Pelodiscus sinensis: one gene and its partners. The protein of the gene in region 4 interacts with the protein of the main gene of each other region in a biochemical or structural test. Links are inferred from orthologs where the notes say so. Each region holds a gene or a part of one and is shown on either strand. Other genes may lie near its edges. The genes, in order: ZAP70, NRG2, tyrosine-protein kinase TXK and ERBB3.

Evidence for each region.
Region 1: the proteins of ERBB3 (region 4) and ZAP70 form a complex in vitro, tested with the Homo sapiens proteins (2 studies listed by BioGRID and IntAct, with this or other methods). The link is inferred for Pelodiscus sinensis from reciprocal best matches to the Homo sapiens genes ERBB3 and ZAP70.
Region 2: the proteins of ERBB3 (region 4) and NRG2 form a complex in vitro, tested with the Homo sapiens proteins (2 studies listed by BioGRID). The link is inferred for Pelodiscus sinensis from reciprocal best matches to the Homo sapiens genes ERBB3 and NRG2.
Region 3: the proteins of ERBB3 (region 4) and tyrosine-protein kinase TXK form a complex in vitro, tested with the Homo sapiens proteins (2 studies listed by BioGRID and IntAct, with this or other methods). The link is inferred for Pelodiscus sinensis from reciprocal best matches to the Homo sapiens genes ERBB3 and TXK.

The regions. Positions count from the first base shown.
Region 1 is NC_134729.1:26,549,155-26,556,068, forward strand, and holds the start of ZAP70 (tyrosine-protein kinase ZAP-70), read left to right. Parts: upstream 1-3,905; 5' UTR 3,906-4,109; intron 4,110-6,914. UniProt on the Homo sapiens protein: Tyrosine kinase that plays an essential role in regulation of the adaptive immune response. Regulates motility, adhesion and cytokine expression of mature T-cells, as well as thymocyte development.
Region 2 is NC_134727.1:2,334,990-2,342,915, reverse strand, and holds the start of NRG2 (pro-neuregulin-2, membrane-bound isoform), read right to left. Parts: upstream 3,013-7,926; 5' UTR 2,627-3,012; exon of another isoform or gene 2,377-2,626; intron 1,993-2,376; 5' UTR 1,819-1,992; coding exon 1,398-1,818; intron 1-1,397. UniProt on the Homo sapiens protein: Direct ligand for ERBB3 and ERBB4 tyrosine kinase receptors. Concomitantly recruits ERBB1 and ERBB2 coreceptors, resulting in ligand-stimulated tyrosine phosphorylation and activation of the ERBB receptors.
Region 3 is NC_134715.1:87,676,940-87,684,857, forward strand, and holds the start of tyrosine-protein kinase TXK, read left to right. Parts: upstream 1-4,903; 5' UTR 4,904-7,918. Other genes in the region: tyrosine-protein kinase Tec, read left to right, coding at 3,144-3,221. UniProt on the Homo sapiens protein: Non-receptor tyrosine kinase that plays a redundant role with ITK in regulation of the adaptive immune response. Regulates the development, function and differentiation of conventional T-cells and nonconventional NKT-cells.
Region 4 is NC_134729.1:4,212,994-4,220,854, forward strand, and holds the start of ERBB3 (receptor tyrosine-protein kinase erbB-3), read right to left. Parts: upstream 3,004-7,861; 5' UTR 2,744-3,003; coding exon 2,659-2,743; intron 1-2,658. Other genes in the region: RPS26 (small ribosomal subunit protein eS26), read right to left, coding at 7,201-7,236, 7,795-7,861. UniProt on the Homo sapiens protein: Tyrosine-protein kinase that plays an essential role as cell surface receptor for neuregulins.

The DNA of each region.
Region 1 (6,914 bases), about 22 Mb from region 4:
GAGGCTCCAAGATCGATTGGTAAATCCCGATCGACTGGTTGGTGACCACTGGCCTACAGGCTACATAAGAAGCACTCTCCAAGCTAGCACGAATGAAAATTTCATACAGAGCATGACTTTTTTACACTCTAAAGGCTACGTCTACACTGGCCCCTTTTCCGGAAGGGGCATGTTAATTTCAGCGATCGTAATAGGGAAATGCGCGGGGGATTTAAATATCCCCCGCGGCATTTAAATAAAAATGTCCGCCGCTTTTTTCCGGCTTTTAGAAAAGCCGGAAAAGAGTGTCTACACTGGCCCCGATCCTCCGGAAAAAGCGCTCTTTTCCGGAGGATCTTATTCCTACTTCAAAGTGGAATAAGATCCTCCGGAAAAGGGCGCTTTTTCCGGAGGATCGGGGCCAGTGTAGACGCTCTTTTCCGGCTTTTCTAAAAGCCGGAAAAAAGCGGTGGACATTTTTATTTAAATGCCGCGGGGGATATTTAAATCCCCCACGCATTTCCCTATTACGATCGCTGAAATTAACATGCCCCTTCCGGAAAAGGGGCCAGTGTAGACATAGCCTAAGGGTATGTCTACACTTGCAGCCTATTTCGGAATAGAGCTGCAAATGTAGGCATTCGGAATTGCAAATCGAGCCATGGGATTTAAATATCCCATGGCTGATTTGCATCTTTCCGTCTGGGCACCATTTTTTGAAATTTACTAGCCTGGAATAGCTGCCCGCGTCTACACGCGGCAGTGAAACGGGTGTTCGAAATAAAGCCCTAGTTTGAACTACCTGTTATTCCTCCTGCAATGAGGTTTAACAGGTAGTTCAAACTAGGGCTTTATTTCAAACACCCGTTTCACTGCTGCATGTAGACACGGGCAGTTGTTCTGGGCTTGTAAATTTCAAAAACGGCGCCTGGCCGGGAAGATGCAAATCAAGCACAGGATATTTAAATCCCAGGCTTGATTTGCAATTCCGAATACCTACATTTGCAGCCCTATTCCGAAATAGGCTGCAGTGTAGACATCCCCTAACTGAAATGTAAGTACAAAATGTATAGAAGTCCAATTGATTTTTAAAATAATTATATGGTAAAAATAAAGAAGTGAGCAATGTTTCAGTAACAGCATGCTGTGGCACATTTGCATTTTTATGTGTGATGTTGTAAGCAAGTAGTTCTGAAGTGAGGTGTAACGGGGGAGGTATGCAAGACAAATTGGACTCCTACGTGGGGTACTGTAGCCTGCAAAGGTTGAGAGCCCTTGTCCTCTACTACCATGATATTTCCCTGGCTTCCCATTTAGGCTTCCCGTTAGCTTAAGTGCAATTTGGCTTGGAAGCGGAGAGATCTGGGGTAGGACGTTCCGAGTGGGGAGGGCATGCAGCGTGGCTGTCCTGTGTGCAACGTTAAACCGTTAATATAGATGAGTGGGAACAATCTCATACTGCTGCAGAATGAAACGTAAGACAAGAAATCCCAGATTGGAAGCTGTCAATAGAACCCCGTGAGGGGAAGGGGAACAACATTCAGGGGCAATCGGTTCATCAGATGCTTTATCTTCTATTTCACCTTTCGCTCGGCCGAGGATCTGAAAACACGTTACAAACCTCTCTGGGCACGTCTAAACAGCAGGGCTAAAGCTGGAATCAGCCACAAAACTTCAGCTAAGTCCAAATAGCTCATTTCGGCTTTTGGTGCTGTCTACAGAGCAGGAAGTCCGAGTTAGCGCCCTCTTCTGCCAACTTCCCTTCCTCCTCGCACAGTGAGGGTTACGGGAGTCGGAGTGAGAAGTCGTCCAGCTCGACATCATGTCGAAATAACGGCTTGCGGTGCAGACGCGGACTCTGGTATTTTGGAATAATGCTGCTGTGTAGACGTAGCCTCAGTGGATTAACCCTCCGACTGCTATGCCTTGATGTTTCCCACACCTGCACCAAGGGACGGCCCGAGGTATTCTGGCACCCCGGGCATGGGCGCACGGCGCTGCCCCTGGGGCTCACAGCGTATGCGCGAGCTCGCCCTTGGGGAGCGGGCCCACCTCCCTAGGTAGCGCAGGCTCACCCCCTGGGGCGCACGGCGCATGCGTGGCCTGGTTACAGCTGCTGACGTGCAGCCCGGGCCTGTCCCTGGGGCCCATGGCACATGCGCGGCCCGGCTACACCCGCTGGTGCACAGCCCAGGGCCTGCCCCTAGGGTGCACAGTGCAAGCGCGGCCCAGTCTGGCCCAGTTGTTGCTGCTGGCGCATGCACTGGGCCATGTAGGGCCCTGCGGCCATAGAGGGGAAGAGCGTTGCTGGCCGGCACCGCGGAGATGTGGGCGGGCCATCACTGCGGGAGTTGGGCGCGCGGGACGCCGCACGCCCCTTACAGCTGCCATCAGGCACCCCCCATCGGTTGGCGCCCTGGGCAGCTGCGCGGCTCGCCCATGCCTCCATCCAGCCCTGCCTGCACCCTGTCTTCACAGGGGACACCCCCCAGAATCACCCTCCAAATCTAGCTGGGATCCAGCTTGCACCTGTCTGAGAAGGGCAGGGAGGTTGTGATACCTCCCTCCAGGTTCAGTGAATCTCAACCCCTGCCCTTTAAACAGGCAGAAACCACACCCGGGAGGAGGCCGACCACGCTGGTGCCAGGAAGGCCCAGGCAGGTTTGCACACGGAGGGAGGGACTATGTGACCACTGCCCTCTTGTGAGAGCCATTCAGAGCTGTGCTTCCCTCTAGGGCGGGGGGGGGGGGCAATAATTTTTGACAGGGGGCCCTCCAAGAATGTGGACAGTGGCCGAGGGCTGCACCCTTCCATGATATGAATGGAGGAGGTGCGGGGTCTGGGATGGAGGTCGGGTGCAGAAGGGAGCTTGGGGTAAGGGAGGGAGTTTGGGTGAAGGGGGCAGTTGTGGCCTGGGGCACTGGACTGGGGGACTGGGGGCTGGATTGTGACCTAGGGCAGGGAATTGGGGTACAGGAGGGGATGCAGGGAGTTGGGTTGTGAGCTAGGGACTGTGATCTGGAGCAGGGGATATGAGTGCAGGAGGGGGGCAGAGGATTTGGGTATGTGGAGTAGAGGCCAGGAGTGGGGGGCTGGGGGTTGGGGAAGGGAGGGCCTGGGGTGCCAGAGGCAGAGTCTGGCCACGAGACTTACCAGCCAGCAGCCCATTCCTGAAATCAGCCTCCCTGCCAGCCAGTGTTCCCTCTAATCTGCGGGAGCAGCCCAGCTTCATGGGTGATTCATCAGCCTCCCCCAGTTAGCCCTGAGCCTCTGGCTGGGCAGGGCTGATTAATCCCCTCTGAAGCAGTTTAGAGGGACCACTGCCACCTGCCCCGCCCCCACAGGCTGCAGCCATGTGCTCTGGAGCCCCTTGTGCTTCGTGGCTGCCTGTTATTGAAACAGGCCACTCCCCTTGGCTGGTTTCTGGCCAGACACCGGATAATGGCATTGTGCTGGGGATGGTAGCAGCTGCTAAAGCTTCCCCCTCCCCTCCAGACTCTCAGTTTTTAAAGAAAAACCGCCCAGAGCGGCGGTTTGGAGCGCGTGCGGGTGGGGCGAGGCAAGCAGGAGCCTGCCTGGGGCAGAGTCCATGGGCTGGATCCGATGGCGGGGCAGGCCGGATCTGGCCTACAGGCTGTATTGTGCCCAGGCAGCTCTAATGGCAGGAGGCCGAGGAAGCGGACGGACTCCAACATCCGCGTGCAGCTCATGGCGTGTCTCCCGAGGTGCACTGGACCAAAAGCCAAGGCCCCACTCCCCCAGCCCTGCACTTGCTTAGGAGAACCGAGTTTCTTTACCTCCCTCATTTGAGGTTGTCCCACCGCCCAACAGGCAGCTATGCAACCAGATCAGGCGGGTTCTGAGAACTTTTGCCCCCTTCAGAGCTGCAGAGTTTTTCTCTCGTCTTTGCTTTCCTGTCTTTGCAACAAGGAAATAGGTCACATTTCAAACAGCCCGTACGCGGGGGTTTGTCAATGTCAGTCAGCACAGGGGACAGGACGTGGCCCGTTTCCCTCCTGCTCGCTTCCAAAAGCGCCACGGCACATGCATGCCCGGGAATATCGGTCCCTCTCACCATGCCTTTGATGTAAGGGACCAGCCGAGCCCTTCGCCCCGTCTGCAAGCCCAGGTAAGCTGCCGTGCGGGACTCGCTCGGTCCTTCATGCCGCTGCTGGCGTCCCTTCTCTTCTTCTTTCTATGCATCCTGAGCGCGCCGGGGGCCTGCTGATGGCCACAGCGCAAGGCCTGAGTCTAAATCCAGTTGTGGGCCCAGTTTTGCCCAGGGTTACTCTGGATTTCATGAGCGGAACGGAAGACCAGAGCAGAAGAAAGCTGGGGGCAGTTAGACTCATGATGGTGGTTAAATGGTCTGACATCCTGTTCGCCAGGGCGGCTCAAACTTTTCCACCCCCGGAGCCACCTCCAGAACCTCTCTCCCAGCACCCGTGGCCAGGGGGGATGTAGCCAGCACCCCTGGCCCCTGTTAGCCACATGGGAAGGAGAGCGTGGTTAAGCTTCCCTGACATTTACGAACCCCGTCAAGTACAGAGCGGATCAGGGCCAAGTCTCAGCGCCCAAGACGCCCCACAAGACAGGCTGTTGGCAAATTTTCACCATTCCCCTTTGTTCCTTTGTCATCCATGTCATCTTGCCCTGCACTTGTCTGGCAAACACGGGCACCACTGCAAAGCCCTGTCAGTCTGGGCATGGTCCGGGGGGCTATAGAACAAAGTGGAGCAAAGGAAATTGGAGCCTTTTTTAATGGCCAGATCTGTCAGAGGGTGGACAAAGCCCCCGAGGGAGGCTCTGGAGACCCCACCGCGTGGGTCAGCTGTAAGCAGATCAGGACAAAGAACGGGAGAGAAGCGCAGAGGGAAGGGCTCTGTCTTGGCCGGGAGCAGGGGTTAGGTGAGCTCGAATATTTGCCACCTCTGCCTGATTTGTGTGTGTTGTCAGTTCAGTCGCCTTTCTCCCCCGGGGGAGGCTCCTCTGTGGCCCACTGGCATTGTGTTCATGCTTTGGCCTCGCAAGTGAGCAATCCGGAACGTCGGAGCAAACAGGCTCGAAGCCGCGGTCGAGTTCCGTCTTAGCGTGTCCAGCCGATGGGCTTGGCTTTTTCAGGACCTTGGGACCCTATAGGCTGCCTCTCTCCGCTGCTGCCTCTGCGCACCAATGGAACGGGCCTGGGACCTGTTACGAGCAGTTGGCCCACTGGGGAGTTAGCCTGGAAACTGGATGTGCCTGGGACACAGGTTAAGAGTCATGAGACTGAGGGATTTGGGCTTGTTCAGTCTGCAGAAGAGAAGAGTGAGGGGGGATTTGAGAGCAGCCTGCAGCTCCCTGAAGGGGGGGTCCAAAGCGGATGGAGAGAGGCTGGTCTCAGTGGGGGCAGGTGGCAGAAGAAGGAGCAATGGGCTCAAGGTGCAGTGGGGGGGGGGCTAGATTGGATATTAGGAAAAACTATTTCCCTGGGAGGGGGGGAATCTCTGTCCCTAGGGGTGTTTAAGTCCCGGCTGGACACAGCCCTGGCCGGGCTGATGGAGTTGGGGCTGGTCCTGCTTGGGGTCTCTGCCTGCCCTGGGGCTCTAGGTCAGGCTTTGCGCTGGGTACGCCAGGCAGCCCTCGGGCAGCCAAGGTCTGGAAAGGTCGACTTGGCTCCAGCAGGGCAACAAATCTCTTAGCAAGGGCCCCCCGAGCCGGGCCAGTCGCGCAGGAAGCGGAGAGCCCAAGGCCTGGCCAGGCCCTGGAGCCAGAACCATTTTGCACCTCGGAGGGCAGAGCTGAGCCGTTTCCTGGGGAGAGAGGAGGGACGCTGGGACTTGCTGCTGCCCCGCCGGGTGAAGCCCTATGGCAGCGAGGGGCAGGGCAGCGGCCAGAGTCGGTGAGGCGGGTGCGGAATCACCGACGGGGGAGTGCCGCTGCTAACCCCGCTGCCCTCACGGAGCGCGAGCCAGACTGCGACCCGCGGCCCGTCCAGCGACCTCGGCGGCACGTCGCTTTGTTCCCCGGGTGCCCGTCTCCCCCGTTCCTCATGGCTCCTTCGTTCATTTGCAGGCTCTGGTCAAGCTCCCGTTTGACAGGGTCTAGACGTACCAAGCGGGCAGGGTAACCTCACGGCCTAAGGGCAGCGCTGCAGAGTTCTGAAGATGGGGGGACGGGAGGGGTTTGTAACAGAGCAAAAGGCCACGGCGGCTCCGTGGAACGCTCTCGCTCGTGGCCTGTCAGTGGCAGGGTGTGTTTAGACCAGACTCTGCTGCACGGCGCTTGGGGCTTCGGGCTTCGCTGCTGCCCGATGGCGCACGCCCAGGTCCAAGCGAGGTCAGTCTGGAACGCAAGCGGGAGGGGGGCGGGGTGAACGAGGTTCACGTGGCGTCTTCTCCCAGCAGGAGAAAAGGGGATCGAGCGGCTCCCTCGGAAGGACAGCTCCTAGGGGAGGGAGGGCCAGTGGTTAGAGCAGCAGCCTGGGTTTCAGGAAGCCAAGGTCCAATTCCCTGCTCTGCCCTGAGCGGCCCGAGGCACAGTAGGAGAGAACAGCCCTGCATTGCCCTCCAGGGCTGCTGAGAGAGCTCGGGAGGTGCTTGGCTCCTCCAGCGACGGGGCCGGCTACATGCCCGAGAGACGTCTGCCTTGGCCAGCACAACGGGCCTTTCACCGCGCAGTGCGTGGAACCCGGGCGCCCGCGCAGCCATGGCGCCTCCTGCTGGTCACGCTGGGAATTGGCACCCTCAGCGCTGGAGCGCCCCTCCGGCCGGGTTCTGCCACCTGACAGTAGGAGCCGCATCCCTCCCAGACCACGGCGCCCCCCCTCGGGGCACTGACCCCCCCCAGAGTCACCCCGCAGGGACCCCCTATCCCCCTGTCACCGAGGGGTGGGGAGTCCCCGGGCCCTGCCCCCCCAGCCGCGGCCAGATGGGGCTCTCAGGTTTCTTAGTTC
Region 2 (7,926 bases), on a different chromosome or scaffold from region 4:
TTTCAGGGCAAGAAGCAGTCATAAACCAACACTTTCCTGTTGAATCATTTGACATCTTTACTTGAAAACAAAAGTCCTTACACCAGGGGTTCTCAAACTTTGTGACACCACAACCCCCCCCCCCCCCTAAGTTGCTCACGACCCCCCAGAGGGTCGGGACCCACAATTTGAGAAATGCGGCTTTACACAGTACAGACATCGCACCATTTGTTACTCAAAGAAAAACTAAATATGGTGGAAGAAAAAAAATTCAGAACATTATCACGCCATTTTGACTGATTCAAAACTTGTCACACCTCCCTGCAAACGAGTCTCTTCCAAAACCCATGCACCTGTCAACAAAACATCTGTCTGCATTTGTAAACATGCTTTCTCCTTTAAGAAAGCAATGCCTCAGATACAATTCAGTAGCTACAGTTAATAGAGCTGGAGCCTCCGGACATGACAAGGTCTTTCATTCAGTAGGTTGGCTGCGGCCATCAAAGAAAATCCACAACAAAAAGAAACACGAAATATGAGAAACTAGAAGAGACTTGACCCCAACTACTGCGGTGCTAGAACAGGTCTGGAGGAGCAGCAGAGTCTAATTGCAAACCTGACTCTGGATTCAGCTGCAAACTGTATCCAAGCAGCCTGTGTCTGTTTGACTTTCCGACACCGAGGACTGCGTTGTGAGCTCTACCCCATTCCACCAGACCCCTGGGCGTTAGCTGCCGGATCACCTGCACGCTCGCGCTGCGACTAGCAGAGAGGGGAGGGATGCGGTCAATTCGGATTGCCCCGAGGTGTGAGAACGCAACCGACAACGTCCAGCAGGAATAAGTTCCCGGGACGGATCATCCTCGCCAACGGGAGGCGATTTTGTTCCAGGCTGCATTAGACTCGTCAGTGAAAGGACAGATCAAGCCACCAGGGATGGTCCCCTTCCGAGGCCTGGCTCGGGTCCCCTCCGGAGCCTTGGAAAGCGCAGCGCGGCCCACGGGGCTAGACGCGCTCCACACGCCGACGGCCGGGGTCGCGGGGAGCCGCCCGCCTGGCGCTGTTTACAGGAGCAGAGTTCGCCCTGCAGCCAGCAGGAGTTTGGAAACCGGAGCAAGTCCCAGAGCCGCCAACCAAATTCAGTGTCGCCCCCCTGCCCGCCCCGGCGAGTCCCCAGCGGCCGGCGGGCAGGCGCCGACCCCCGACCCCGCAGACACAACTCGCACGCTCAAGACACCCAACTTCTGCTGGCGGCGGGAGCCCGTGGCGCACGGCCCGTCGCTCCAGCCGCCCGACGTGGTGCCCCACGGGGGGCTGCCGGTGCGCGCCCCTGCCCGGCCCCCCCGCTGCGTCCGCCCCCCCACACACACACACACCCCAAGCCCCCCTCCCTCCCGCCAGCCGCTCCCGGCGCTCACCGCAGTCTGCGCACAGGATCCTGGCCACGTCCTTCTTGAGGGTCTTGCCGCTGGTGTCCAGGGGGGCGAAGGCCGGGCTGAAGAGCAGGGGCTGCTCCGTGGGCTCCAGGAAGAAGATGTAGCGCCGGTTCCGCTTCACTTTGAAGCAGGGCGCCGCGCTGCCCACGCGGATCAGCTGCTCCCGCTGCAGCCCCCCGCTGTTGCGGGGCCACAGGTCCAGCACTTTGACCAGCACCGCGCCGGCGGGGGCGGGGGGCTCGCGGGTGCCATTGCCCGGGCCGGGCAGCGCCTGCACCTTGCCCTCCAGCACCACGGCCGCGGTGTACGCCTGCTCCTGCACCGATTTGAGGCTGGGGGCGTAGCAGGCCAGGGACACGCCGAAGAGCAGCATGGAGAAGCCGGGGGTCGGGGCGCGCCTCATGCCGGCTGCTGTCCGGGCTGCGGGGCTGCGGCGGCTCGGGAGGCGCAGCGGGGCGGGCGCTGCTGCTGCTGCTGGCGCACGGAGCCTCCTGCAGTGGCGGCGCGGAGCAGCGGAGCGGCCGCCTCTGGCCAGGCCATTTGGGGGGCCGCCGCCTCGGCAGGGGAAACAGAGGCGCTGGAGGACCGGAAACGGCGTAAGCTCGGCGCCCGCCCGCCCGGCACCTCCCCGGGCGGCCCCGCCGGGGCGCAGCGCGCGCGGGGGGCCGGGGCCCCGAGGCAGCTCCGGGGCCCGGAGGGGACGCGCCTCGGCCCCGCTGTCCCCCGGGCCGGGCCGGCCCCGCAGCTGGGCAGGTGAGTCCCCCGGAGCGCCCTTGGGGAGGGATCCCGGGGAATCCGGCGCGCGGCGCCCCCGCGGGGGATCTCCGGGACTCCCCGCCCCGCACCGGGAGAGCCGGAGCCCGCGCCCTTGCGGGAGGTGCCGAGGACTCCCCGCCCCCTCGGGGATGCAGCGCGGGGCGGGGGCGCCGGGCAACCCCGTGGGGCGCGCTCAGGCACCTACCTCCGTGCCAGGCCTGGAGCCCGGGCGGCCCCGCCCGCCCCTCCGCCTGCAGCAAGGACGCGGGGCGCAGGTGGCTGCAGCAGGCGGGGCCCTGGGCTACATGGGCAGCGCCCCCCCCCCCGATTGGAGCGAGCGGGCCGGGCTGGGGAGCGCGCCGAGCCGAGCCGCTCTCTGCAGCCCTTGGCATTCCGCTCGCATCCCCTCGCGCCCCGCGGAGCCACACGCCGGCCGGGCAGGACGCGCCGCTTACCCGGCTGCAGCGGAATCGCCAAGTCAGGGGCCCCGGCGCTGCAGAGGCCCCGGCTCCGAGCTGGCAGGGCGCCTGGGGCGGCCGAGCCCCTCCCCCGCCGCTGGCTCGGCTCGGGATTACCTGGGAATTGGGGCTGGAGAGGAGCGAACTGGCCTAAGGAAGGAGGAGAAAATGGCTCCTTCCAGGGGGGGCCCGCTGCCTCCCTCAGACACGCACGCTCCGAGCAAGGGGGGCGGCGAGGGGACCCCAGAAAAGCCGCGTCTCCGGAGAGGCTGCGCCCCGCTTTACGTCCCCGCAATCCGCTCGAAAACCATCGCTCCGGGCCTCCCGGGCCGTTAATTAGCGGCGGCTTTTCAGAGGCGCCTTCTGCCCCTGGGGGCTGCCCGTTGGGGTGGAAAATGACACAGGGGGGGGGGGATCCCGCGGCCTGGGCCTGCCTGCTTTGCCGCCGTCTACCATTGACTTCAGTGGGGGGGGCAGCCCCAATCACGTGCACGGGGCTCCTGTGCCGGGAGTGTCCTTGGCAGGGAGAAAGGCAGGGCTCGGTGCTCTACAGGCAAAGTCCGGCAAGAATTCAGCGCAAAACTCCCAGGGGGGTAGACAAGAATGGGATTGCAAATCACTGGGGGCGATGGGTAAGGATGGTGCAATAGGGGGTGTCAGCCCGTGTATCCGTATCTCCAAATCAGAATGGAATGGGGGTGGAATTATCCAGAACAGGTGGAAGTAGTGATACTGACATTCCTTGTATTCCACCATCTTTCCCGTGCAGAGTTGAAATCAGTGTCATGCATGTACCTTTCTCCCACGAGTTACCCCTGGCTTTTGATAGTGCATGAGTCCACTCAGATCTCCAGCGGGTAGGAAGCCATCTGGGTTTGGGTTGTTTTTTAATGCATACTTCTCCCACTACTCGGGATACTTAAAGCATGTCGTCTGTCTGAGTCATTCTTCTTCAACTTCAAGCAAGGGATTGTGTTATTAGGCACATTTATCATAGGGTACAGCCACACAGCCCTGTTACAAAGAGTGTCTACACCACAAGGCTTTATTTCAAAATAAAGGGCTTCTCACTCCCAACTCCTGTAACCCTCATTTTACAAGGAGTAAAGGAAGACTGTTCTTCCTTCCACTTCCTGCTGTGTAAACAGCGCCAAATGCCAAGTTAAACTATTTTGACTCGTGCTACGCTAATCTGACTTTAGCCTTGCTGTGTAGACGTACCCTATATACTTAGTAACATATTTCTCTTTGGCTTTCTGCTTCTCCCCTACACCTCCCTATGTCCACATGACCCTGAGGTTTTTTTAGGTTGAGAGAAACCTGCAGTAAGGCCCCAGTTCAGCAAGGTACTTAAGCCTCTGCTTAATTTTAAGCAGGACTAATCTCATTAAAAGCAAGCTTAACGAGGTGCTTAAATTCCTTGCTGATTCCGGGCCTACTACTCACTTCCAAGAGGCAACCCACTGATGTATTTTCCATTTCTAATTGTCCGTGGTGATTTAAGGCTGGGATTCGATCTCCCTTACCCACCCCTGGGAGCTGAGGCGTTTGGTTCCTAGTCCGAGAGTGGGGTCAATAAAATTAATTCTAATACAATATTCAGTGGCACCTTTGGCTGTTAGTCACCTTACTGCTCCCTGGGGCGTCTTTGACAATCCCAGCCTTTGCGCCAGGCGACGTTCCCCCGACACTGGGGCCGTGTCTTTACTCCCAGAACAGTCGCCACGTGGGCAGGGGGGATGGATGCAGCCCTTCTCCCGTGCCCTGCAGGGACCACATCTGAGGATGAAAGGTTCAGGCTCTAGCCCCATTCTAATCTTCAGCCTCTCTGCACTGAGACTGCCAATAAAGGTGCCAGCGATTGCCAGTCATGTCGGTGGCTCCTGCAGTGTGGACATCTGCCCACTAAGCCCTCCCCTAAGACTTACCAGCCTGCACCACACGGGTCAACAAGCAGCAATAACTCTCGGAGGCTGTGCATTTGGACTGTTTGATGTGGTGACCTAGCCCAGTGGCTCTTGATTTTTTCCAGGGCAGGACCAGCCTGGGACTCCCCCTTCCATCTAGGCGGTGGTCATCCCTCCAAGTTGGCAGTGTGGTCTGACCTCTGACATTAACTGTGACCTCCCTGGGGATCCTAGGCTGAGAACCTCTGACTGTTGTCAGTCCTCTGGTCAATGCGTTCCCTCTCCCCCCAGTCCTCCGCCTTAGGCCACCACTTCAAAGAACATCCGATGTTTGGATTGCACCATCTCGTCCAAGATCGCTTCTCCTCGACCAGTGACGTTTGCTGTGTGGCTGTGCCAGCTGGCCTCCTTTATGTCCTAGGATACCCTCCTATTGTAAGAACTGGCACCATTTCCTGATGTTTTGAGCAGGCACCAAAATAAGACTTGCCAACCAAACAGCAGACCCGGGATGACTGGCTGAACGGCGCGAGGGGAAGGAAAAGAGCACTGTGGAAACACACTTGTGGGATCTGATCTGGTCCTGGAATGCTCCAGCCCCTTTCTGCGACTATTGGGATTTGTGGGTGACATTCCTATGGCACGGGAAGGAAAGTCAAAGGATCTGGGGAAGTGGGTCTGGCCCACGAAAGGTCATCACCTAATAAACCATCTTGTTAGTCTTTAAAGTGCTACATAGTCCTGTGTTTTGTTTCAGCTACACCAGACTAACACGGCTACATCTCTATCACTATTCTAGGACCAGCTCAAGCGCTCTTCTCTGTTGGGGATGCTTCTCCTCCTTAGGCTACGTCTAGACTGCAAGCTTCTTTCGAAAGAGGCTTTTTTGAAAGATACTTTCGAAAAAGCTTCTTCCAAAAAAGAGCATCTAGACTACAATCCATACTTTCGAAAAAGCAAGCTGCTTTTTCAAAAGAGAGCACCCAGGCAGTCTGGATACTCCCTTTCGAAAAAGCACAGTTTGCACTACATACCGCCTTTTTTCGAAAGAGCGCTTTTGAAAAAAGGCATCATTCCCCGTGAAATGAGGAGTACCGCTGTCGAAAGAAAAGCCGCGTTCTTTCGATTTCATTTCGAAAGAACGTGGCTGTAGTCTAGACGCAGGTGACGTTTTTTCGAACAAAGGCTACTTTTTTCGAAAAAAAACCCTGCAGTCAAGACACAACCTTAGAGATGAAACTGCCCCTTCAAAATTGGCCTGGTCCTGCTATGTGGGAAGCCGTAAGGCACCTGAGGGCAGGGGACTGGACCCTCCTGGTTCTTGTGTTCTAGGATTCTGTGCTCTGCTGCTAGATAGAACTAGGGGGAGGAGAATCACCAAGCAAACTGTCAGGATCCGCTCCACATTAAATGTTTGTGTGACTGACAGCTGGCAGGAGAGGGCATTTGCTGATTCGCCCAAAGCAGCCAAACCCTCAGACCTGGCTTTGTGCTGCTTACAGTGACACAGAGATTCTTCTGCCTTTGACATTCCCACAGGCGCCTAATTCCCCAAGTCCTTCCCCACGGTGCCAGGAGGCAGGACTCTGGATTGCTTGCTCTGGGGTGCGGATGCCAGCAGGCGCTAGACTTAATGAGTACCAGGGAGTCTCTGCCCTCTACAAAGCTGCGGAAGAGGATTCTAATTCTGGCTGCCGTACGAGGGGAGCATCGCCCCCCACAGGAGCTGGCGCACGGGGCTCATATATTGCCCCATGGAACTCACTGTCTTCTTCCATGGCTGTTTGCAAACCGGAGCAGCCCTGAGGCAAGCACATAACCCGCTTGGCCCCCACAGAGCAGGAACGCTGCTGAGAAGTGTAACTGGCAGGTCTCTGCTGGCTCGTTTGCCAGGGATGGGGAGATCCAAACTGGCAGCGAGAAAGGAAAGCGAGAGAATGACAGGGAGCGTTAGCCCCGAGATTATCAGAGACAGGGAACCAATGTGATGTAGCGCGGGGGGCGGTGGACTAGTGATCGGAGGGGTCAGCTCTGCTACTGGTGTGCTGAGTGACCTTGGATAGTCTCTTAACCTCATTCTCCCCATCTGGAAAATATGAATACCACCATTTATAAAGCATTTAACACACACACACACACACACCCAAGAAAGCTGCAGAGCATTGCTACTATTTTTCTGTGTGGACTAAACCCTGCAGTGCAGATTTCTTACTACACCAACCAGCCACACATCATGCTGGCCAGAAATAAAGCTAATTGGCAGCATTACAGTCCTCTGTCTTTTGACACTCTGTCTGATTTCCAGCTTAGTATTCTGCCAACTTCCTTCAAATGCTTAAGAAATGAGCATTCTAGCCTGTTTCTTGGTTCATACCATTAGCCCCAGGCATTTAGCTTTTTAAAGAAAAAGAAACATATAAGGAGCATGGCAAATTCAGCAAGAAGACTAAAAGTGGCAACCTATTTCCCTCCAAGATTCATTCTGCTCCTTAGCTGTTCTGCCCATTAACACCGAATGTTTCTGTTGTGTGGTCCATGTCGTGCTTCTGGGCTTTTTGCTTTCTTATTGACCCCCATATCGTATGAGGCTCCGTAAAGCAACAGTAGCCAGCCGATCCTGCAGGCTCTCTCTGCTTGGCACTGCTCCCCCCTTTGATTTCAACGGAAGAAGGGCCAGTAAAAGATCTGACTTTTACAGCCACGGATGGCTAAAATCAATTGGGACCAGGAACAAAGCTAGGAAGGGAGCTGGGGTAACAAGCCATCAGCTGGCCAGGAATTAGCCTGCATTAGTATCACTGAGTGTCTATGTCCCGGGGCTGCTTAGAAATATGAGCCGATCGGAGGCAGCATGATGGAGTGCTAGGAGACACGATTTCTGTTCCTACAGCTTCTGCTGCTGACTAACTCTGCAACCAGGGCACATCACTTAATCTCTCTGGCGCTTCCCTCCCACCTTCGCAACCCTGTGTCTTGTCTGCTTATCTCGCGGGCTCTGTCTCTCTCTGTGCGTACAGCACCTGACTCCAGGAGTCCTCCCGGTGATACTATAATACAAATCATACAACGGTACTGTGGGGAGTGCTCCGAGAAGGGAGGACACGAGGGCCGCAGAATTATTCCTCCTTACAGATCAGAGACTGCTGAGCATGTCATTGCTGCAGAAGGGTTAGGTAGTTTTGGGGACCGAAGCCAAGTTGTCAGATACTTTCTCACTTTCCCCTGCCGCATGCGTGTTCTGTGTCTACTGCTGCTGTTTCCTCGGGGCAGGCAGTGGCTTCGTTGTGTTCATATGATCAACAGGTGCCCCCGGCTTCATAACTGGGATGTAGTGTCAGTACCTTGCTGGTTGCTGTGCTTGGGCTGTGGATGACGCCTACTGGCCTCTGT
Region 3 (7,918 bases), on a different chromosome or scaffold from region 4:
TGAATTTCAAAGGAGGAACCAATGGAAAAAGACAAAAGGACAGGGTGACATGAAGTGATCCAATGGGGAATAAGATTGTTTTAGTGGCCATGATTTGCATGGAGGATGAATAGTTAGGTATCTGAGTGATCACGTATGAGCACTTTGAAAGATACCCAGAGGTAGTTATACAGATAAGGAAATACAATTAAAAAGGCGAGGAGAAAAAAATAACATGCAGCTATTAACAGAGAGCAGTGAAAACATGTCAGTAATGGTACCAATGAGAACAGAGAGAAACATAGGAAGTAATTATAAATAGGAACAGAATTAAATGTTGTAATGTAAAAGATATGATGCTCCACAAAGAGGGGTTAAAGGCATTAGAGCCCTATGTTTGGATCTTCTATATCAACTGATCACACACATTCTTGAAATCACCCCACAATGAGAATAGAAGACTTTCTCTTTCATTGACTATGGGCCAAATTGTGCTCTCACTGAAATCCATGAGAATTTTGCCATTGATTTCAGTGTGAGCAGGACTAGGCGCTGTGATCTGGTAATTTTTAATATTACTCTTATGACTTTCTGAGCTATTTCTCTCTCTCAACTTTTCGGCTACGTCTACACTGGCATAATTTTCCGGAAATGCTTTTAATGGAAAAGTTTTCTGTTAAAAGCATTTTCAGAAAAGCGCGTCTAGATTGGCAGGGCGCTTTTCCGGAAAAGCACTTTTTGCAGAAAAGCGTCCGTGGCCAATATAGACGCGCTTTTCCGCAAAAAAGCCCCGATTGCCATTTTTGCGATCCGGGCTTTTTTGCGGAAAACAGTACTGTGCTGTCTACACTGGCCCTTTTGCGCAAAAGTCTTTCGGAAAAAGACTTTTGCCCGAACGGAAGCAGCATAGTATTTCCGGAAAATCACTGGCGATCTTACATGAGATCGTCAGTGCTTTTCCGGAAATTCAAGCGGCCAGTGTAGACAGCTGGCAAGTTTTTCCGGAAAAGCAGCTGATTTTCCAGAAAAACTTGCCCGTCTAGACACAGCCTTGATGTTTATTTCTTAGGGGAAAAGATTTCTTTATAGTTGATCTAGAGCAGGGATAAGAAAAGACCACAGGGGAAACATCTATAAAATCAGCAGTGTGTCAGTGCAAGGAATTAAACAACAACAGGCAGCTAGTAAAAATTGCAAAATCCAAATACAAAAAGCCTCAAAGCAAAATTAGTTGAATTAGAATGCCTCACAACAGAAGAGGATTTGGTGTAACAGGCATTACAGAAACATAGTAGAATGACAAAAATCAATGGAATTTTGTAGTACCTGGCCACAAACTATATAGAAAGATAGACAAGGCTGAAGTGGCGAGGGAGTAGTGCTGAATGCAAAATATTCCATGGAATCCAGTGAGAGGACCATGCAATTGAATCTATGGATATAAATCCCAAGCTGTAAGAATACCAATATATTAGTCTGCCTATACAAACAATCTCGGGATCAAGAAAAGAATATTGGGTGTATAATGCTGGAGAAGATCAGAGGCAGCAAAACTGAACAAAATGCTTTTCAATATCAATGAGCAAAAGGTATTTTAAAAAGTCATTAAGCATTCTTCAAGCACATCCGAGTCAAGAATCGTAATAGAGTTAGTCGATTTGCTGGACATAAAATAATTCATAGAAAAGTTAGGTCAAGGTCTTTTATTTTTGCTGTCTAATAATAAAAGAACATGGGGCTAACAAATTTCAGAAGAGATGTTAAACTTTATGGCTCAGAGTTCAGGAAAATCTCTGAGAGTACATTTACACTACTGGACAAAGTCATAGAATCGGAAGGGACCCCAAGAGGTCATTGAGTCCAGTTCCCTGCTCTCATGGCAGGACCAAGCACTGTCTAGATCATCCTTGCATGTGTTTGTCTAACCTGCTCTTAAATATCTCCAGTAATGGAGATTCCACAACCCCTGTAGGCAATTTATTCCAGTGCTTAACCACCCTGACAGGAAGTTTTTCCTAATATCCAACCTAAACCTCCCTTGCTGCAGTTTAAGCCCATTGATTCTTGTCCTATCATCAGAGGCCAAAGAGAACGATTTTTCTCCCTCCTCCTTGTGACACCCCTTTAGATACTAGAAAACAGCTATCTTGTCCCCTCAGTCTTCTCTTGTTTAAACTAAACAAGCCCAATTCTTTCAGTTTTCCCTCATTGTTCATGTTTTCTAGACCTTTAATCATTTTTGTTGCTCTTCTCTGAACCTTCTCCAATTTCTGCACATCTTTCTTGAAATGTAGTGCCCAGAATTGGACACAAACACCAATTGAAGTCTAATCAATGCAGAGTAGAGCAGAAGAATGATTTCTCATGTCTTGCTCACAACATTCCTGTTAATTAAGTCAAATTAAGATTCTCAACTTCTTAGTATTAAGATACTACGTTAATTGCATAGCTGAAGTCAAAGTACCTTATCTCGGCTTTTGGCGCTATCTACACTACGGGAAGTCAAAGGGAGACCACTCTCCTGTTGATTTCCCTTACTCCTTGTGAAAGCAGGACTACCAGCAACGACTGGAGCGCCCCTCTCAGTTCGAATTAGCTGTCTTAACTAGACCCACTAAATCAAACCCTGGAAGATCCACAGTGGCCACTTCAATCTTCCTCTATAGTGTAGATGTACTCTAAGGGGTTATGAGGAGATATAATGTCAGGGGAGGAGCAAATTATCACTTTCACTTAATGAGAAGGCTCTGGCACCTTCCTCTGAAGCATCTAGTGCAAGAGTACTGTCAAGTATAGGCCACTAGCTTAAATGGATCTTGAGTCTAATTCAATATGGTAATTCCTATGCTCCTTCCACCTCAAAATCTATTAAGAAAAATCACACTGTGTAGCATTTTCAGCAATGTGTGAGGTTCTGAATACATTTTAGATTAATAGGAAATAATATAGTACACAACCTCATTTCATGACTAGCAATACTTTGGGTTAAGAGAAATTTACCTGTCATGTTTCTTTCCAATGCCTCTAACCTACTTAAATGTAACAGCATATTTTTCTTTACATCCACATTTTCCCTTATATTTTATTTTGTGCACATTATTGCCTTAGCAAAATAAACTCTTTCTGATGTGATTTTAGTACAACTGAAGTATTTTAATTCATAGAAACCTGAGGGACGGCCCACATTTGAAGATTTGCTGCGTACAATTGATGAGATAGCGGAGAGTGAAGATGCTTTCTGAAGAGAGGAACAGAGGCACAAGAATTCTACAGTACAACAAAGAATAAACGTTGTAAAGACACAGAATTATTCTTTGAGCATCATCGTGCAAGATTTTGAGTATGCTGAATGAAATGTGGCGAGCCTAAGCATTATCATTTAGCATTTTCTCAACAGACACATGGAAAAATGATTATGCATTGTAGAGAAAGATGCACAATATATTCACCAACCTGAGCAATGCATGCAGCCCCCAACTGGGGAAGGTAGCTCCTGCACCCAACCTCTTCTGCCAAAGACCCTGCCCCATCCCTTGCTCTCACTGATTGGCCTGCCAACATAGCTCCACGCCCTGGGTGGTGCCCAGAGCATCCCAAAGCCTGTGCCAGCCTGCAAGTGCCCCTAGCAGCCCCATATCTTGGCCAGCCCACCAGTGCCCCGAGTATTCCTGAGGAGCCCTGAACCTCAGTCAATCTGAGTCCAGACTGCTCAGAAGAGCTTTCAGTCTGATGCAGTCCAACCTTGGGGCTGTGGCAGGAAGCATTGGCAGAGGTTTATGGAGGCTTAGTCTTTCCTATTATCTATTGCCCATGTTAATCAATGTAAGAACACTCCTAAGCTCCATCAGAGGAGTCACCATGAGATTAGTAAAAGGTTGGGATTGATGCATGGAGCAAATGACAGGATATGGCCAAAGCACAAACACTAAGTGCAATCCTGTGCAAGTGATACATTTAGTGTTCATGCTTATGAGTTTCATTTACTCTTACTGCCAGTCAATAGTAGTAATAGTCAATTGTGCATTTAAAAGCTGTGCTTAAAACCTAAAAGCAAGGTCATTTGGTGAGGGCCACCTACTCCTATAGCAATGCTTCCAAAGGTTCTAAATTATTATTTCCTCACAGTCTGTTGACTGGTGATTTATGCCATATACTAGGGCCAATATTCTTGCTATGCTGTTAGTCTATTTTACACACTCCCCTCAATTTACTTTTCTTTGTGCGTAGCAAAGTACCATGGTCAACAGCGTAGACCAATGGCTCAAGTGCAGCACCGAAAGTCCTCTCTGTGGCACTGAAAGTCCTCTCTGTGGGACTGAGTCCTAATTTATTTTATGCCAGGGACTGTTTCTTGGGACTTTTTCACCCAAAGAGCATTGGGGCCCAGTCCTGAGCCCAATTATAGTGATGAACAGCACGAACTATACATCACAGCTGACTTTCAGTGAACTATATCACATTGACTTTAACTATTAAATAATTTATATACTCTTTGTACTATAAATGTATAATGTACACATCTATTTATATGAAATGTAAGTGTTCCTGAAAATGTTAAAACACAAGTTGCTCTATTTTAGGTTACACAAATAGTGTGATATATGGTATCTCTGGATGAAAGAAAATATACCATGAATGTTGATAAAATGACAGATTTCTATCATTCTATCGGTCATCAGTTGTGCACAATGAAATAAGCTTTATAGATTGTATAGCAAATGTCATACTACAGTATGTGTATAATAAACCACATGTTAATTGTTTGGAATCTGGAATAGCAGTTTGCCATTGATTTATTGTCAGAAAATGATTTATTGGCCAAATATATTGCTGGCAGAACTATTGACTTTCATGGATTTACATCAAAGATGTAGGACTGAACATCTTCAGGTATGTGTGTTAAGTGCTTACATTAGGATTCAATGTCAGAGGATGCGTATGTACAATACATACAGCTCTGAGCCACAATATGAAATATCTGACATATTTAGAAATTTTATATGAATAAAAGTGAGGATTACAGTAGATGTCCTGCTGATATGGGATGGAGTTTACCATTGCAGAATGGGTCTGATCACAAAAAATGCTGAGCACTACTTATATAGCATTGAGCTCTCTTAACCCTCACCAAAGGCCCCCATGTGTAAATGAACTATAATATGCATACAAGGTGAGAAATTGATGGGGATTATTAACTAGGACCTAACACGGCAGTCTTTTCTATTGAAATCACTTGGGGTGCATCTAGACCACAGAGTTTTTTTGGGAACTCCGTCCACACTAATCACACTCCGTCCACTCTAATCACAACTCCAGAGTTCCTGTCTCCTTCTAGCTCTTAAAGCTGCAGGCACCCGGGACAAGCCTTGTGGCAGGAAGCCGGCCTTGCAGCAGGACCTTGACTGCATGGCTGTGACTGCCACAGGCCTGCTGACAAGTGGCAGAGCCACAAGCTCCCCGAAACCCACCTGGCCTGCACAAGGAGCCACACCAGAGATCCCAGGACCCACCCGGGGGCACCAAATACCAGGCGCCTTCCTGGACCGGGCCAGAGACCCTGTCCCTCCTGAGCTGTGGGGGGAAGAGGAGGCCCTGAAGGATCTCAGCTCCAAGCACCGCAACGCAGACATTTATGGGTGCATGGCCGAAGGTCTGGCCCACGGGACACCACCCCTGCACCCTTGACCAAGTTTGGAGCAAGGTCAAGGAGCTCCGGCAAGGGTACACCTGGGCCAGAGAACGCAGCACTCTCTCCGGGGCAGGACCACACTCCTGTCCCTACTACGAAGAGCTCCACCAGATATACTGGGTAGTGGGCAAGCCCTTTCCCCACACTTAATAGCCCTCTTGGTGTACTGGGTTTATTAATACAAAACAAACTGTAAATAAAACTCAAAGTTCTCCAAATAAGGTCAATTTATATATTCACACAATCCAAGGTTTCTCTTTCTTCTTCCAGGTGTTCCTGAATGGAGCCTCTGTAGTTCTCCCTGCTTGATCAAAAGACCTCCAGACCTCTCTGCCTGCAGAGTTTTGCAGTTCCCTTTCCTGTTCAGAGAGCTTGCAGACTGACTCAGCTTCCTAAACTGTCCGCCATTCTTCACGGCAACTTCCTACTCCTTTTAAACACAATTACCTGATTCATCTCCAGCACCTCATCCTCTATCAGGGCTGGATAAGCTCCATGCTCTCCAGCCCATGAAGGCAAAACACCCTGTTTCAGGGCTCAGACCTTTCTGATGATGCGTGATAAGGGAGTTGTTATAGTAATACTTTCCTTTTAAAAAACAACCTAGGAAATTGCATACAAAATATCAAGTTTTATATGTAAAGTTGTTTGGATTGCAAAGTCAAGCATGTGAAAGTTGGGAAATGCTAGATTTAGTTAGCACAGAATTACAGTTGTTGGGGAATTTCAGCAAAACAGTGACTTGTCAGATAATGCCAAATCATCAAACCCAAAATGTTTTGTGGAAACATATTGGATTCAATTCACTCTCCATGATCTATAAGGCCTCCAGGAGCCACTGCTCTGAGGTAGCTATGCCATATGGACAGCCTCAAGGTGAGGGAACCCCAGAACTTCCAGGGTTTACAATTTCAGGGCTACCCACCAGGCAGAGTGCCCCCCCCCCCACACACACACACATACTGTCCCACTGCCTAGTGAAGCAGTTGCCCGGGCACTGGACAGCCCTTGAGCCACAGACCTTGGATAAAGGCTCTGGCAGCTGCTGACTCAAATGTACTTTCTTCTTGGAAGTGTTAGGGCCATTCAACACAGAATAGTAGCTGTAAAACTGAGAAGAATCATGACAATTTCATTTAGCATCTGCCATGCTCCTGGAAACATATTTCATATCATCATTCTAGGGTACATTAACAGGCGAGTCACATGTAAGAAATTAGCAGTGGTTCCACTCTACTTGGCAATGGTAATGCCTCTACTATAGTAACATATCTGGTTCTGGATGATACAATTAAAGAAATGTTTGGACAAAGTGAAGAGAGTCCAGGGGAGAGCCAAAATGTGGACAAACGGACTAAAGACTTTTCGAAAATCTAATCTATAAGGAAAGATTACAAAAACTGGGTATGTGTAGTCTTAAGAAAAGGATGAGAGGGAGACGAGACCTGATAACATGTTAAGGAGAAATTACAGAATCCCTGTCTTTGCAGGCTTTTAAGAAGAGAGCAAACAAATGCCTGCCAGAAATCTTCTACCTATATTTAGTCGTGCCTCACTGCAGGGGGTTGAACTAGATGATGTCTCAAGGACTCCTTCCATTTCCATATTTCTGTGATTCAATTCAGAAATACCATGTGTCTATTTTCTAAATGAAAATTATATGGAATTTCCATTTTGGAGGAAATTTTGAAATATCAAAACACCAGAAGCTCTGTATTTTGGTCAGGTTTTTTATAGTTTTTAATTACACGATCACATACATTTTTTCCCATAGGATCCCTGCCAAATTCAATGCAAAGTATGGACACAAAGGAATAGATTCAAGGTTTCACTGGCAACTGTTAATCTGGCATTTCCTAACTTTTGATGTGTGACTTTGCAATTAAAGTTATGTTATTTTAACATACTTTTCAATATGTATTTTTATTGAAGTTCATCTAAAATGTGAAGACTGAATTCCAGTGCTGTCCTCCATCAACACACTCAATTTAAACATAGTCTAGGCTCCAAATTGTTAATTTTGTATTGGGTCATCTTATCATTAGAGTTGGCTGCCGTGTTCAACTTTTGAATAGTCTGAAGAGAAATCTGTAAATGATATTTTATAATTTTCTCTGGAGAAGGTCAATCACTCTTCAGACACTTCTTTCTTACTCTTTTTATTGGTATAACTTAGTTTCACATAACAATAAGCGCAGCACAGAAAATCTGCCTGAATTACACCAAACATCTACTATTCTTTCTAGTCTC
Region 4 (7,861 bases):
TCCTGGGTCCCTGCCGTGGACAATGTTCCCCATTAGAATGTCAGACCCCCTCCTGGAGAACACTCCTCCTCAGGAGTCCTTCCACTGACAGGCTAGTGGGAAACTGAGGCAGGGGGTTGCCTAAAGCCATACAGCGAAAGCCAGACCTGGGAGTAGAACCTTGAGTCCCAGCTCTCATCACTAGGCCCTGTGCCCCGCCCAGGGCTGGCAGCGGAAGCCAGGTGCTCTGCTTGCAAGGCAGGACACCACCTTGGTTGGGTGATGACTCAGCCAGAGGCTCATTAAGAAACTGAGCCAGCTGGCTGGGGATGATACGCTCTTACATGCAGCAGCCCGGCGTTACTTTCAGTCCCTCCCCCCCCCCCCCCCCGGAAACGCTGCCCTTTCCCCCCCTCCGAGCAGCCCAGTGCCTGCCAGGAGGTCCCCATGGCGTGTTGCTTTCAGGTGGCTTTGCACCGCCCCCCTGCCCTAGAGCCGCTCAGACCCGCATGCTTAGAGAGCCCCCAAAACCGGCTATGGGGGCTCTACAGGAAAGATTCAGTTCAGAACAATCCAGCCAACCTGCGCCTGCCGTGGGGCGCAAGGCCAGGGCATCACAGCAACGGAGGCAGCTCCCTACGTCTTCTAAGGCCTCCATATGGCTCGCTGGGAGCTGCCCCCAGGATGGTAAGAGAACCAGGTCGGCAGACCTGGCAGGCCACTGTGACCAAGAGCTCAGGGCAGGGAGTCTGACCCAGCAACTCACTTCCATACATGGGGGGATGCTGCTTCTTCCCCTCCATACACAGGGAACCAACTGCAGGGGCTGGAAACCATCCCCCAGACTGGTCCCTAGCAGCCAGATCAGAGCCCAGGCTGGCTCCCGGGACCATGAGCTGGCAGGGTGGACGAGACCCATTATAATCTTCACCCCAATAGTTTGCCCTGGTGTTGCCATCCAAGGATCTGAGCCCCCTTCAGCACGAACCAATCAGCCCTGCAAGAGAGAATCAGCGCTCCTCCCCCTGTCATGTGGGGAAACTGAGGCACGGAGCCGGAGGAGGGGAACAATATGCCCACCCTACCCACCCCCTCTGTCACAGGACGTCATTGGGCGCGTGGGTGAGGCATCATTGCCGGCGTGGCAGAGAAGCCGGGTAAGATGGGGGCTCTTTTGAGAGGGTGGCAAAGCGCTAGGTCCCAGCGTCACTCTCAGAGTGAATTGTTCCCGCTGGCCATATGCACGGCTCAGCTGGGAATAAACCCACTGCTCTTTGCACCCTAGGCCCGCCCAGTTGTTTTGTTGCTGATTTCACCAGCCCACGGAAGAGTTTTGAAAGTGCCCCACCCACCAGCGAAACGGCCTTCCCGCCCCACAAACACACGCAACAGGTGCCCAGGGAGCGGGCGGATGGCCGGGCGCCAGGAAACGTTGGCCGTTCAAATAGCACCTTTAATTCCAAGTGCCTTAACTTGCCAAAGCCTGTTCATCAAGTGTACTCAAGAGAGAGGCCCCGCGGAGAGACCTAGAACTTGTAAAGCAAGATACCAAACAGCCCCAGACTTGGCCCTCCCTGCCCGGCCTTATCTGCAAGCATCTCGCTTTCCCGCAGCCGGGTGCACATTCCGACTCGGCCTCTCGGGAAAGAAACCCGAGGCTCTCCCGCATGCTCCCGTGTCTCGTTAATTTCTCCTGCTTAAACCCATAGGGGCTGTGATCTTTGTTGGGGGGGAAAGAAATGCGGAGGGGGGGGGATCCTCCGGGCCCTGACCCTGAGGCAGGGCCATACCAGCACAGACATGATGGTCAGGCCAGGGGCTTGACGTGGCACCTGGCAGATCAGCCTCCTTCCCGCAACCCCCAGAAATCAAAGTCACAAAGAGCCACCCCGGCAGCTGAAGGCAGAGGCGCCGCAAGCGCGAGGCTGATGATTCTCTTCCAAAGCCGTAACCAGTACAGTCCCGCCCCGGCACCCTGCGGTTAGTCCCGCACCTGACTCCCCTAGGAGCAGGCACCTGAATCCCTTTGAGACTTGGGGCCCTGATACTGCCATGAGCTCAGAGACCCAAGAAATTCACTCCAGGAAGGGTTCATGCGGGGGGGGGGGGGGGAGGTCAGACCAAGGCCAGTCCTGGGTAAAAGTGGCTAGTGACTCGGGGGGGCTGGTCACACCCTGCTGCAGCTCGTCGGCAGGTCCCCTCCCATCGGCTCCCTAGGCCACGACCTCCGGGCCTGACCTCTGCAAGGCACTTGCCCACGGTGCCTGTAACCTCCGGTACCAGTGCAGAGTCCAGCCCCCTGCTTCCCGGGAGTAACCTCTGGGCCAGATCCACACCCGCTGGGGGGCTGCCCGGCCCGGGGCCTGTGAGACCCCCTGTCCCGCCCTGCGCTCCCCAGACCCCTGCAAAACACCCAGCGCTAAACTCTGCCCCGGAGCAGGTGGGGGGGGAGGGGTAGTTCTGGTGCCTGTGGGGTGGGGGCAGGGACGGTCGCCCAAAGGGGCATGAGGGGGAATTACGATTTTGGGGGGGTTCGGGGGGGCCCTCTTGGGGCTCTGCCCCTCGGTAGAGCAGGTTCAAAAGCGGAGCCTGAAGCGCGAGTGACACCCGGGATACAAACACCCCCCCGCTGTGCCCGGCTCCGGAGCGACTCCGAAGCTCGCTCCTGCCTTGACTTACCCGCCTGGGAGGCCACGAGCTCCGGGCGCCAGAACAGGACCACGAGCCAGCAGGGGAACCCCGCCGGGAGCAGGATCCTCCGCATTTCTCAGCCGGGGCAGGCAGCCCGGACGGGCTAGGACATGCCGGGCAGAGGCAGCCGCCACCTGATCCCCGCTGGGGCAGGGAGAGGGGCTGGGCCGGGCCAGGCGGCGCCTCTGGCGGCCGGTGCCTCGGTCCGCGTCGGCAGCCCCGCTCCCGTGTCGCCTGCCCGGGCAGCCGCTTTGATCCGCGCTCGGGACACCCGCAGCTGCTGGAGCGGGTACAAACACACACACTCTTCATTCAGGAGTAGCTGCGCCGGCCGCTCATTGGCTGCCCGCCCCAGCCAATCAGAGACGGACCAGCTGAGGGGTGGCGGGGGACTGGGTCTGAGCCCCCTTGTGCCCCCACCCCTCGCCCCCTGGGCTGGGCAGGGCTCAGCCAGTCGCTGATCGTCGGGCAGGTTCCGGCTGCACCAGCCACTGGGTCTCTGCCCCAGGCAGCTTACAATGCCCCAGGCATGGGTCAGAGAAGAGATCCCGCCCTGCGTCCCTCAGCTCCTACCAGACAGTGCGGGGCCTACCTGGCATTGAAATCTCCAACTCCCGTGAGGATCTGGCCCCGGGGGCAGAGACAGGAAATGAACCCAGGTGTCCAAGTGGGGAAATAACCCTATACCCTTTGGCGGGGGAGGCAGACACAGCGGTGGAGGGGGGGCATCACAAGGGAGCATCAGAATTAGAACTCACGTACCCCAGCTACGAGCCTGGGGGCCAACCACGGGCCCATGCCCCTATCTTGCCCCTGCACTCCTTAGCGGGCCTCGCCTCGGCTTCCCACCCGCGTTTTGTTTCTGCAGTTGGCACATGCCACCCCCAAGCTCTGCTCTGCACCTGTCCCTGGTCGCTTGGCCAGTCCAAAACTTCTGCTCCCGCCCATCATCAGCTGCAGAGCACTGCACATCTACAGCTGGGCGCACGTCTACAGCTGGGCGCACGGGCATTGTGGACAGCTGGGGGGGGGCACGTTACAGATTCCAGAGTGGGTGGGGGGAACAATGGCCGCAGTCAGGCGCAGGCCTGAGAGGAAATGAGCTCAGAGATGGAGGCGGGAGGGGAGCTGGGTCGTCAGCAGCATGACGCACTCCTGGTGGGCGCCGGCAACTCCGCACCAGCCCCATGGCGGGCATGGAGCCAGCTCAGCAGCCTGGCAGAGCTCTTCAGGCAGCCCCCCCCCACATTACCAACATCCCCTCCGGAGAGTGGCGACTTGCCCCATTCAGTCCTTGGCACCCAGCCCAGGAAGTCTTAGGGGGCAGGGCCCATCTTTGTGTTTATACAGCACGAAGTCCCGTGACTGGCAGCCCTGGTCTGTGGCTAGATTGCGGGGGGCAGAGCAGGGCTAGCTGCGACCATAATAGACCTATTAAACAGCCTGCAGAACCCAGCACAGCGAGGGGTGGGTTAGTGAGTCGGGCACCAAGAGCTGTTACCATAATGCACCTAATATGAAGAACTGGTTTCAGCCCAACCGCTTCTTTTCATATGGGCCAATATCGGCCATTTTCGGGGACCATTTTCTAATCTCCTTCATGTTCAAGTAGGGACTTAGAGGTGAAAAGCCCCAGGAATCCCTGAGCAATAGGGCCTTGTAGCCCCCCCCCCCCACACCACTTCACTCTTTGCCATAGGGAGTTAGGGACAGTGGAAACACACCTGGTTATTTTTACCCCTTTTTAATCAGAGACTCATGTAGTCAGTCATTGGCCCCAGGTGAATTCTTGGCCCCGGTGAGTTGTTGTGGCAGAGAGTTCCACAGGCCAATCACACACTTTGTTGCCTTTTGTCCCTAGGTCACGAGAGAAAGTAAACAAAGGTTCCCGACAGCCCTTCTCTGCTATCATTTTCAGTCCCTGTGTCCTCTTGGCCAGGGCAGCAGTAAACAGACCCAAACCTTTTCTTTTTCAGGCCTCTAGGGTGGCTCTCTCCTTTCCCAAAGCTGCTGGAGCCTCCAGGAGACAGGACCCCAAACACGCCCCTAAAATTACCAGCCTGGTTGATCAGGATTTGGAGCTGAGCCTGCACCTGTTCCAGCTCTAGGGCGCCCCCCGGTGGCCATTTCAGGGACTTTCTCTTTAGGCCTAAGCTCTGGCTGCTGACAAAGACGCAGGCCACTAGGATGTCACATCATCTCCCCGCAACCTCCAGTTCCTTGCTGGGTCCCCAGCAATTCTCCCAGGAAACGGGGCATCAGCCTGGCAGAGCTCTTCAGACAGCCCCCCCCACATTGCCCCCCCCCCCACATTGCCCTCAGGGCTGGTGCAAAGGGGGCCCCGCCCAAAGATGAACTGGAGCACAGGAGTCTGCTCCCATCCTGCCTGCATCCCGGCTGGGCATGTTCTCCAGACACCCAACACTTCTGGGCCTAGGCTGCAGACAGCTATGGGAGGCCAGGCTGGTAGGGCAAGCAGCCAGACCCTGTCCTTAGCGAGAACAGGGGCCCACTTGGGCTGAGCTAGGCCTGCTTTGCTCCACTTGAACCCACTCAGTGCAATAGCACCACTTAGCCAAGCTCACTCCAGGAGCAGACCATGCTGCTAGATGGCACACGAGCTGGGCAAGTCCTCTTGCACCTACACACAGGGCTCTAAGTGCCAAGCTGGAGGAACCCTGGCTCCCGCTGGATACCCATGCACAGCCCATGGGAGACACGCTCCCTGCACGTGCCAACAGCTAAGGGACAGGACCGGTTGCCCAGCTTGTGCGGTTTCTGCAGCGTTGATTATTTAGCAACCAACAACCCTGACAAGGCCTCCCCAAGTCGTCCCGCAACAGCCACACTCTGCAATACACCCTCCACCCCCCAGTCTGCCACAGATGGGCCTTTGGGCCCCCCTGCCAGCCCAAAGGGTTCATTTTATGCTGTGAGGCCCATCCACCAATTGCCATGATCCCAGGCAGGGCCAGCCCCTGGCATGCATTGAGCCCCCCAACAGGATGCAGCAGAGTTCTGTCCTACAGTAACTGCATGCCTCAGTTTCCCTGAGCACTGTACTAATCCCTAGCTCAGGGCTACTCAACACACAGCCCACGGGCTGCCTGTGGCCCACAGCCTGCTTATGGCCCACAATACAATTTGGCTACGTCCAGATTGGCATGGTTTTCCACAAATACTTTTAACGGAAAAGTTTTTCCGTTAAAAGCATTTGCGGGAAAGAGTGTCTAGATTGGCACGGACACTTTTCTGCAAAAGCACTTTTTGTGGAAAAGCGTCCGTGCCAATCTAGACGTGGCTTTGCGCAAGAAAGCCCCAATCACCATCAGGGCTTTTTTGCACAAAATACCGCGTTGTCTACACTGGCCCTCTTCCGCAAAGCATTTGCACAAGAGGGCTTTTGCCCAAACGGGAGCAGCGTAGCATTTCCGCAAGAACACACAATCTTACATGAGATCGTCAGTGTTCTTGCGGAAATTCAGGCAGCCAGTGTAGACAGCCAGCAAGTTTTTCCATAAAAGCAGCTGCTTTTGCAGAAAAACTTGCCAGCTAGACGCAGCCATCAGGTTTATACAGGGCCCACAGCGGGGATCCTTTGAACATGGCTCCACTGGGAACACACTCCACAATGGCAAATCAATATAATGGTCTTTTGTCGATATGCATTTTAGTAAATTCCTGGACTGTCATGGCTCATTAAAAGTGGTCATAGGGGTGGAAATCGGGTAAATATCGCATTTTAATATCAGAACTGACATAAATGGGGCCTGCATGTTGTGTAGTCTTGCCTGGCAGTGTGAAAGCTATTTGAATATATTTGCATGTATAGGCAACCACTCTTACGTTGCTGCGTGTGTTGTATCATTGTGGCCCCCAGGGCTTCCAAAGTTGAGTAGCCCTGTCCTAGATAGTGATGGGAATTTCAAGAGTGACTTCCATGGAGGGAGACTGCCCCAGCCTCCCTCGCCCCCTCCCCAAAGGCTAATGCCCTCTGTGACTTGAACCAGAGGGGGTACCAGGTGATACCTTTTGCCAGGGAAGCAGGACAAAGGCTGGAGGAGCAGCCTGGGACCAGGACCTGGGAGCAAGTCAGCAGCAGATGGCTTGGGAGGCAGGAGGGCCACAGCCCTGGCTCCGGGCCTCCTCTCCCCCCTCCACCGCCCAAGACGGATGGTACCGGCTGCTTCTGGTTCCTGTGCTGACAAGTCTGTTCTATGGTGTGTCCTTGTGGACTAATATTTTCTGTTCTATCTGCTGAGTTGCATCTAACTGTGGCTAGGAGTGCAGGCGCCTCTGCCCCACACTTTGGGGACACAGCCAGTGAGCTATGGAGAGACTCCTGCCACCCCGGAGAGCATCTAATGCTCCGCTTCTTCCTCCCACAGTAACACTGTCTTGCCACAAGCTCCCAGCAAGTGGAAGAATCTGGTGCCCTTTCTCTCCCCCCACAGACTCGCACGCACCCACTAGATGTAAAGTCATTTATTGAGGCAATGTCTCAAGATGCACATTTCCAGCAGCTCTGCCTTACATAGGCTTGGGGGGTGGTCTCGGGGCAGCGCCCTAGAGGAGACAGAAAGAAGAGAGTTAGGGGATGTTCAGCTGATAGAGGCTCAGCGATCTGACCTATCAGCCTGGCAAATCTCTGATGGTGGCCAAAACCAGAGGCTCCAGAGGAAAGTGGAGGAATCCCGCAGACGTGAGATCACTGGCCTCCCATGCAAGAGCTCAGAGAGCAGCTAAAACAAGCTGTTTAACCTCCCTTCCAGGCCATGTCGCTGTGATAAGGACCTATGGCTGTTACCCACAGGACCAATCCCGTGGTCCGACTGACCCACCCGCTTCGGAGCAGGACTCTCCTCCCCATACAGTCAACAGCGTCCCAAGCGGCTGGGACTTCTCTGAAGATAATCGCTGGCCCCAGGTAAGCCGGTTCCAGCTCCTAGCTCTGTGCTGCAAGGTTTTGCTGGGCAGCTCTGATTAGGCTGGTACCTGACATTGCCAGGCAGATCAGTGGGTGGAAAGACCGTCATGGGCGTGAAGGAAGTGTGGGGAAAGCCGGGGGGGGGCGGATGTTGGCAGGAGTCGGGGTATGGGAGGGGCTCGTGCAGTGATACGTACAGCAGGCCTGAACCTGGGCGGAGGGGTACGGTCCTTCCGGGCCTCCCGGGAACGGTTCCTCACCACC